Linked DNA regions of Drosophila melanogaster. The protein of the gene in region 1 interacts with the protein of each later gene in a pairwise test. Each region holds a gene or a part of one and is shown on either strand. Other genes may lie near its edges.

The links.
Region 2: the proteins of Rgk2 (region 1) and cm interact in a two-hybrid assay, tested with the Drosophila melanogaster proteins (one large-scale study listed by BioGRID).

What each region holds. Positions count from the first base shown.
Region 1 is NT_033778.4:18,538,361-18,543,278, forward strand, and holds the start of Rgk2 (Rad, Gem/Kir family member 2), read left to right. Parts: upstream 1-1,608; 5' UTR 1,609-1,933; intron 1,934-2,783; exon of another isoform or gene 2,784-4,094; intron 4,095-4,918. Other genes in the region: Pepck1 (phosphoenolpyruvate carboxykinase 1), read left to right, coding at 1-785.
Region 2 is NC_004354.4:7,008,441-7,013,063, reverse strand, and holds cm (carmine), read left to right. Parts: upstream 1-1,918; 5' UTR 1,919-1,972; coding exon 1,973-2,007; intron 2,008-2,076; coding exon 2,077-2,164; intron 2,165-2,219; coding exon 2,220-2,545; intron 2,546-2,621; coding exon 2,622-2,781; intron 2,782-2,837; coding exon 2,838-3,290; intron 3,291-3,400; coding exon 3,401-3,586; 3' UTR 3,587-4,058; downstream 4,059-4,623. Other genes in the region: CG3032 (uncharacterized protein), read left to right, coding at 1-776; sloth2 (sloth 2), read right to left, coding at 970-1,155; sloth1 (sloth 1), read right to left, coding at 1,161-1,246, 1,308-1,461.

The DNA.
Region 1 (4,918 bases):
CCTCCACCTCTGATGGCGGTGTGTTCTGGGAGGGCATGGAAAGCAGTCTGGCTCCCAATGTCCAAATCACTGACTGGTTGGGCAAACCCTGGACCAAGGATTCCGGCAAGCCCGCTGCGCATCCCAACTCCCGCTTCTGCACTCCAGCCGCCCAGTGCCCGATTATCGATGAAGCCTGGGAAGATCCGGCGGGAGTGCCCATCTCCGCCATGCTCTTCGGAGGACGTCGTCCCGCCGGAGTGCCCCTAATCTATGAGGCTCGGGACTGGACCCACGGAGTCTTCATTGGAGCAGCCATGAGGAGTGAGGCCACTGCTGCGGCCGAGCACAAGGGCAAGGTGATCATGCACGATCCGTTCGCCATGAGGCCCTTCTTTGGCTACAACTTTGGCGACTACGTGGCCCACTGGCTGAGCATGGAGAAGCGTGGTCAGGTGCCAAAGATCTTCCACGTCAACTGGTTCCGCAAGAGTGCCGAGGGCAAGTTCATGTGGCCCGGATACGGAGAGAACTCCCGTGTGCTGGAATGGATCCTGCGCAGGGTCAATGGCGAATCCTGCTACGTGGACTCGGCCATTGGACACATTCCCGCCGAGGGTGCCCTAAACCTCGATGGCATGAAGGATAAGGTGGACGTGAAGGAGATCTTCTCGCTGCCCAAGGAGTTCTGGTCGCAGGAGGTCAAGGATATTCGCACCTACTTCGAGTCACAGGTGGGCGCCGATCTTCCGGCCAGCATTTACCAGCAGCTGGACGAGCTATCTTCCCGCGTAGACAACCTGTAAGAAGGATCAATGAGGAGAGTCCCATCTACAGCATCTTTACCTGCCCACACACCTGCTCACCCACTGTGCTATCCCGTACTGACCCCATCACCAACCCAATTTGTTAACCTGTCCTAAATACCTGTCCCCAATACCTTATTTAGTCGTTTCTCTAGTTCTTAAGCCGAAGACTTCCAAACTATTTATTATATAAGCAGCCATAAGATTAGCAAGTAGGCCATACAAACAGAGAAAATTAAAAAAAAAATAAAACAACACGATTTTATAACCTACATCCTATATGAGTATTTATTTATCACAAACTTGGATTTTTGAATGTTGTGAACATTCTAAACAGTATATATACAATAGTTAATATACTAATAAATGCTTTATAGCTGCATGATTTATTTATTAACGCTTCAAACAATCAGTTAAATAGATAAACAAGTTTTAATACGTTTTAGGATTTTTAAATGATTGCTAAATAAATTTCAAATGTTATAATTATAAAATGTGACACTTGTAACTAGTCTTGCTCTTGTTTCATAACTAAGACTTTTAATATTTTTCAAAATCCTAATTTATGGTGTTAATTTGCCAAGATTATAGAAATAAATTAAGTTAAATTTTTCCCACTTGCCTTATATAAGATGAAACCGCTAGATGATTTCCCAATCATCTCCTGCAACGGCTATCCACTGCATTCGCTAGCTTTCCTCGGCTCCATTTTCCAGCCCAATGGAAGGCCGCGAAAAGCTCAACAGTCGGAGCTTTTCCAGCACTTCGGATTCACAGGAATCGGGAGCCAGGAAAAAGGCAGCCAAGAATCGGTGGGCACCACAGTTCAGCTCGAGCAGCCGCCGCCGCAGCTTCGACCGGGCGGAAGTTCGTGAGAGCGGCAGTCGCCAGCGGAAACGGAAGTGCAGAAAGCCCCGAGCGGCTGGCCGTGCAAACTGTTGCTCGTCGGTGTGTGTTGTGCTATTTGTGGTGGTGTTTGTGCTAGTGAATGTGATGGTGATGGTGTACCAGTATCGGTGTGCTGATGTTTGTCGCGGTGGCATTGTTGGTGTTGAACAATTAGCCAAGTTGCTATAACAGACCGAATTATCCGACAAATTTGATGAAAATGGTAAACATTAAACTGTAATGCGGCACGCGGAGTAAAAGTGAGTTTCCCTCTGTCTTAGTGGGTGTGTTTAAATGAGCGCGGGATCTGTGTGTGTGTGTGTGTGTTTGTACGGCACTTTGTAAGCTGCGATTTGACATGTTGATTTATGCGCTGCTCTCACTTTGCCCCCGAACGGCAATTGCCCACCCAACCCCGTCCCCTAAGCACCCAGCCCCCAGCTGGGATTACTCGTGTCCTGTGTCTCTTTCAACGGCACTTCGTCCTTTTTGTAAAGACCTCTCCTTCAGCGGCACTTGTTGCGCTCACAGGACATTCGCTTAATTGCTAATCCTCGCGCCCAGACGCGTCTAATTACACGTAAGTTTGCGCCATTTCTGTCTATCTAACGACGTCACTTTGTGCCCACCCGCCGGCCGTTTAAAGTGCAAATTGGCAGGCGCCTGGGGCATCAAATGTGGATTGCGCGCTTGGGTGGCGAGGTGGTGAGGGGGCTGGGGTGTTTGAAAAGCGGCCCGGAGGTCACTTAATATGCCATCAACATGAGATTTGCACAAATGGCCCCGGCCTCAAGAATTATGTGCTGCAATAAAATCGATGCGTGGGCGGAGCTTCGGGACTCAAGTGGCGGCTAATGACCAACTTGCGACGTGACTTTGGCCAGGATTTGTAATTTGCGAACTGACCAGCCCAGAACCAGCAACACCCCCCTTCCACCATCAGCCGTATACATACTCGTACTCCTAGATCTTAAGTGTTTTATGGACTTTCCCTGTTTGTGTTGTGCACACACTCAGTTTATTTTTACAGCAGAGACAGGGGGTGAAAGTGCCCCGTCGGCATGGGTGGCTGGGCCGGAAGGTGGGGACAGTTGGGGTCTGAATAGTAGGCTGGGTGGGTGGTGTTAAGTATGCGTTTAACGGGTGCGGGCTTAATTACAAGCAAAGTTTACCAAAGGGTTGTCCCGAGAACTTCTCTATGACGCGATGGAGGCCTGCAATTTAATGACGGTCCGTGCAGGAAGAGTCATTACTCCGGCCACCTTGTACTCGAATGAGAAATGATGATGGCCAGCCGGAGCACCAAGGGCGCTAAAGGAAGAGCCGCAGACGGAAAACGGAAAGCGAAGAGTAGAAAAGCGGAAAAGCAAAGAGGTGCCAGTGCAGGCGGACCCGAAGCCATAAACCTGATTGAAGCCCAGCCCACGCATTGGCATTTGTATATGCAAATGGGGCTTAACCCCATTCAAATTATCCACACATCGCTCCCTGCCATGCATAAGTTATGGGCTCAGGTAGCGCAACTCGGTTTAAAGTCAATGGAATCCATCAATAATTCCATCTGCTGCCAGAACCAAGGGCTCACATTTCCTTTAGAATTCAGAAATCTGTAGCAATTATTATCTTACACAAGCTTACCTTTTCTCGGCAACCCATCCGGGCATCAGGACCCTGGTGTAATACAATAAGCTGGCCAAAAAATCCCCTCAAGGCCCCCCAACTCGTTGGCCTTTATGCATACACAATTCCGCATTGAAAAAAGCCGATGCGGACCGAACTGCTGAGGACTTGAATGCGCCCAAAAGAGAACGTGAGTGAGAACGACAGATATTCCTATTGATTTGTTGTCTGCAGATTCTCGCAATGGCGAAACCTGTTGGCCAGAGCGAGAAGGAGTGGGTCAGGTGAGCCCTGGACTCTTGGCCACTTTTCCGTCAACATTTTGTTATCATCCTCGAACCATATCCCCCCCTCGATCCATCCCCATTGGTCGGCTGGGTTCGATTCGTTGCGGTGGCAACACGCCATTATATTACGTGAAATGCAAAATACAACGAAAAAAAAAACGATGGGTATACGGAAAAGCGAAGAGCTGGCAGTGGTAGTGAAACAACAAGTTGCCAAACACTTGAATCAATCACTCGAATAATTGATGCCTTGTAAGTGGAATTTACGAAAAGATTGTCCCAAAGATTCAAGGACTTAAGTGAAAACTTTTAAACGACCAACTTTTCACTTCATGAATATGCATTTAAATTTAGTCCAGACAGTCTACGCAAGAGTTAAGTCACTTTGAGTTTTGAGTTCGGCAAACTTCGTCTCATGAAGTAAAAGCATTATAAATAAAACTTCTCACAAGATGAGTACTCTTATATTGAACATAGCAATATGAAATGGGAATATACATTTGTTTTAGGTGTTAAATCGTTGATAAATCACATACAAATATAAAGTTCCAATGAACGGAACTGAGATTTAATCATCAAAAATATGCCGAATTTTATACGGAATGGAGTACTGAGTGGCATAAAACCGCAAAGGTCCGCATCCAACAGGTAAACTACCAGGTATTCGACTATGGTTATTCCGCACTATTTGCTTTCCCTTATGGGCACGTACTCACGCATATGGATATGTGTGTCGTATTCTGTTCGGGTGTGGGTGTCAGGGCTATTTGTACACACGATAGATAATAATGGCCCGCAGGTCGGACGTGAGCCAGCAGTAGAAAGTGGAAATTCGAACGAGCCACGTGTCCCGGGGGCACAGACAAGTGAACGGCCGGGAGCAGCGGCAACTGCAGCATATGCATGCAACAGCAATGAGGCACGGGAGCTGCGAGCTGCCTCATATAAGTGCAGCAATCGCCACGGGATGTTCCGCTATCGTAAAACTAAAGTGCTGGCCAACATAACCCCTATGCGGGGCATGGAAAACCACTTGCCGGCTCAATAGGAGCTAAAGAAATGGCCATCACTTGCCATCTGCCGCCATAATCAAGTCCGAGGGCGCCCCCAAAATGTAGGCAACAGTTCGCGGCTGCAACTCAAACTCGAGGCTGGCAAATCCCATTAGAGGGAACTTTCTTACCGCCCCAAACAACAACATGAAGTTTCCCGCAAGCGGATTGTTGCCAACTTTTGCATAAGTTAGCATCCAGTGGTGTGTGAATGTGCTGACAGCTAGTGGGTGTGGTTGGGTGCCTGGGAGGATGGGAGGATGGGCGGATGGGGGATGTGGAGCGA
Region 2 (4,623 bases), on another chromosome or scaffold:
ACATCCGTAAGGTGCACGAGGGCAGCAAAAGGCCCTTCCAATGCGATCAGTGCGAGAAGGCCTACAGTTTCATGGGCGGTCTGTATACCCACATTCGAGAGGTGCATGCCCCCAAGGAGCGACGCCATCCCTGCGACCAGCCAGGCTGCGAGAGAATCTACACCAGCCGCATAGCCATGCAGAAGCACAAAAGGCTGAAGCACAGTCCGCGTGACCGCGATGCTTTGAAGAAATTCATCTGCGAGCAGTGCGGAGCCAGCTTTAACCAGTCGGCGAATCTTAAATACCACCTTAAGACAAAGCATCCCACGGAGGACGAGGTGGCCGCCAGGGAGGGCGGCGCCGGAGAGCGCCATTTCTGCGACATTTGTCAAAAGGAGTTCCATTCACGATACACCCTCAAGTACCACACTTTGCAGCAGCACGAGGTGCAGGAAGAGTTGCCCCACGAATGCCAGGTCTGTGGACGCCGGATGGCCAAGAAGTTCATGCTGCTGCAGCACATGCTGATGCACTCGAACGACAAGTTGCCCTGCGAGCACTGCGGCAGAAGATTTGCCAGGCGATTCGAGCTCGAAGCCCATGTGAGAGCAGTCCACTTAAAGCTGAAACCCTTTCCCTGTCACCACTGTCCGGAGAGCTTTGCTTCTAGGAAAACCCTGCGGCACCATGAGTACATACACACGGGTGAGAAGCCCTACATTTGCGACACCTGTGGACAGGCCTTCCGGCAGCAGACGTGTCTTAAAAACCACCGGAAGGTGCACGAGAAGTAGTCTTAGCTAGCCTTAGTGGAAAAGATTTTAAAATAGACTGATTAAGTGGAAACGTGGCGTCTTTTGAATGTTCTGGAACAGGTAACGCTCTTCGTAGGACATGAAGGTGCTATGCCAACAACCCTTTCCTCAACAAACAGCAGGCATTCACTTAAATAGCTTTAGTCACCAATAACTTGTCTAGTACACAGTGTTATGCAGATTCCGGTGGCTTTGCGGTGGGATCCACCTGTGTGCTGTGTTGCTCCTGTTCGATGTAGACGCGCAAGTCCTCCAGAGGCTTATAGTAAAGGTGAACAGCCTGCGATCCGGCCATCATGGATGCCAGGGCACAGCCGAGGAATTTCAGGTACTGGCCCCAGGAAACTCCGGCGGGCATTTTGCTTAGTTGGTGTTATTCGCGGCTCGCGCCTGCAGATGCTGCTGCTCTTCCACGTAGTTCTTCGCCTGGCGGCGCTTAAAAGTGCGGTCTGCATGGAAAAGATTCCGTATTAGTAAATAAAAGTAAGGTTTTAAGCGTAGCAGTCTCACAGAAATTGGTCTCGCCCACTGTCCAATTGATCATGGAGAATTCCAGGCCGGCGCCCAGTAAAAAGAAGAGCGGCAGGAAGCGGTAGACACCGAAGCGCTTCTTTCCTGGCCAACTGTCCAGCAGACGACGCACGGATCCGCTGTACGGACTCATGTGTTTTCAGCCGGCGGTTATATAATTCCGTGTTGGTTTCGCCAATTTTAAGGCGAGATTCAAAGGTGCCGTGTTTGTGTATTGCCTCCGTCACATGTGTGCGTTAGTTCTGTATATGGTTTAATTGAAAATGTTTAGGCTTGTTCCTTTGTTTATTTATTATTTGCCAAAAGTAAAGGGGAAACTCCACTTGCCTCACGATACAATTTCCATTTGTTCCGGTTCGCAGCAATCAGCTGTTCGATTAGAGATGAGCGAGTGAGCTAGTGATGAGCTGATGTGATGACAACACAACGTTAGTAAATAAATTCATAAGTTAACTATGTATAAGGCCCCTTAAATAAATGTTCGTTTATTTCAGCCTATCTTAATTTCAATTTAATGAAATTATTTAACAGTTACTGAAGCGCTTCGGGAGCATGGTAGTAGAACACCTTCACGCTGTCATCGCTAATGATTCATCCCTGAAAAAAAAACATAGCTTAAACTAGCAAGCAATTTAGGTCGAATTATGATACACAGTCTGTTTATTGTAAACAGCGGCGGGTAAGCCATACCTATAAGTGAAATGTGAAGACGATGTAATACCCATATACCCATATATCCGCATTTCAGCGAGGTCTTCCTGGAAAAGCATTGGCGCTCGGTTGTCTCGAGATCTGTGTGCGAATACTTCCTTGACGCCCAGCGCGCTGCTCCATATGTGAGTCGCCCGTGCCACGTATGGGTTGTATGCTGACCATATCTCTTTGTTGCAGGATGTGCCGCCGGTGATAGCCACGCCCCACTACTACCTGATTACAGTGCAAAGGGACACGGTGTCTTTGGTCGCCGCCTGCAAGCAGGAGGTGCCGCCGCTCTTTGTCATCGAGTTCCTGCATCGCGTGGTGGACACCTTCCAGGACTATTTCGGCGACTGCTCCGAGTCCGTGATCAAGGACAACTATGTGGTCGTTTACGAGCTGCTGGACGAGATGCTCGATAATGGCTTCCCACTGGCCACCGAGAGCAACATCCTCAAGGAGCTGATCAAGCCGCCCAATATCCTGCGCACCATTGCCAACACGGTGACGGGCAAGAGCAAGTAAGTTGAATGATGCTCCCTCCGTCTTTGTCTTTCATTTACCTTAATAATCCAATTAATAATCCGATTTCCGAAGTGTAAGCACTACTTTGCCCTCGGGTCAGCTGTCGGCGGTTCGCTGGCGCAGAAGCGGCGTGAGGTACACCAACAACGAGGCGTACTTCGATGTCATCGAGGAGGTGGACGCTATCATTGATAAATCCGGATCCACGGTCTTTGCCGAGATCCAGGGACACGTAAGTTTCACTTAAGTCTATAAAAATAATTTCTATCTCTTTTATTTTTTTATCAGATCGACTGCTGCATTAAGTTATCCGGCATGCCAGATCTGACGTTATCTTTCATGAATCCTCGCCTCTTCGACGACGTTTCCTTCCATCCTTGCGTGCGCTACAAGCGCTGGGAGGCGGAGCGCCTGCTCTCCTTTATCCCGCCCGACGGAAACTTCCGCCTGATGTCATATCACATTAGCTCTCAGTCCGTGGTGGCCATACCCATCTACATCAGGCACAACTTTTCGATCAAAACGGGTGAGCAGGGGCGTCTGGACCTCACGATTGGCCCGAGGAACACCCTTGGTCGCACCGTTGACAAGGTGAAGCTGGAGCTGACCATGCCGCGGTGTGTGCTTAATTGCCTATTGACGCCGAATCAGGGAAAGTATACCTTCGATTCGGTGACCAAGACGCTGTCCTGGGATGTGGGACGGATCGATGTTTCCAAGTTGCCAAATATTAGGGGATCGGTAAGAATAACTATTGAGACCCTTTACACTTTTACACGATTCATGTATCTAACGTCTTAAATTATTTATATTTTTATCCCATTAATAATATACTGTCCTTGCACGCCTAGGTTTCCATTACGCCCGGTACGACCAACATCGATGCCAATCCATCCGTGAATGTCCAGTTCCAAATCTCGCAGCTGGCCGTCTCTGGGCTAAAGGTAAATCGCCTGGACATGTACGGCGAGAAGTACAAGCCTTTCAAGGGCGTCAAATACCTGACCAAGGCGGGCAAGTTCCAGGTGCGGATGTAGACAAAATCATCATCCGGATTCCAATTCCAGCTTTAATTAATAGCTAACGTTAAGTGTATTCCGCTTGTTTTTTTTTTTTTCATTTGATGTTCTAGCCCTCGTCTCTCTCCCTGTGTATCTCATTTATGTATCTATATCTCTACCCATAAAATATTAACTTCAAGTGTAGTCGCCTTGTCGTTGTTCTTGGACGCCGTCGCCATATTCGAAGAGTAAGAATGCGAGAATTGATTGGGAATGAAGTTGCAAGTCTTCGAGTGGCGTGGCTTGGCATGGCATCGCATGGCAATGGCACCGTCGACTGCACTGCACTCCAAGTCAAGTCACTCCACTCGATCGCAGTGCGCCTGGCAACAGCCAGCGAGGAAACCAATAAATTCAAATGAAAATGCAAAACTTGATTTTGCAGCCAGGCCAACGCATTTAGCATACGAATAGTGTGTATACATCTTGTTTATCAATGTGTGTGAACAATGCGAAGAAGTAGAGACTCGCTAACGTACATTTCTAGGCAAGAGTGCTGAAAAGTGAAAGACTGATCAAATTATCGAGTTGTGACATTACACTATACCCCACGCATTTTGTTAAGAAGAAACCCAAATTCAATTTCTATTTGACTCTTCAATGAGTTTTTCGTTAAATCCCTATTAGAATCAGTTTTTTTTTAATGCAATTAACAAGCACACGAGGTTTCACTGTGTTGCCTCGTTATCTCCTTCTACAAGCTTAGCTGCATTTTTGCCTCTGGCCGAGACCGGTAACCGGTTTGCCCTGCCACGCCCCCGATGCATGCCTTGGACCGCCCCCCTTGACCCATGGCAGCCGCAAGCAGCAACAGCTTCTAGGCTTTTGGGCGCGGCGTGCAACGGTAGCCAACAAGCGCCACCGAAAGGCGACGTCGACCATGGCTAGACATGTTATACACACACACACACACACACAGAGAGAGCCAGCTCTTGAACGGGCACAAAATGTTTGGGGCTCGGACCCCAAACGGGTTGAGAAAATAACTCAGATTTCGAGTCCAGTTCGCGAGT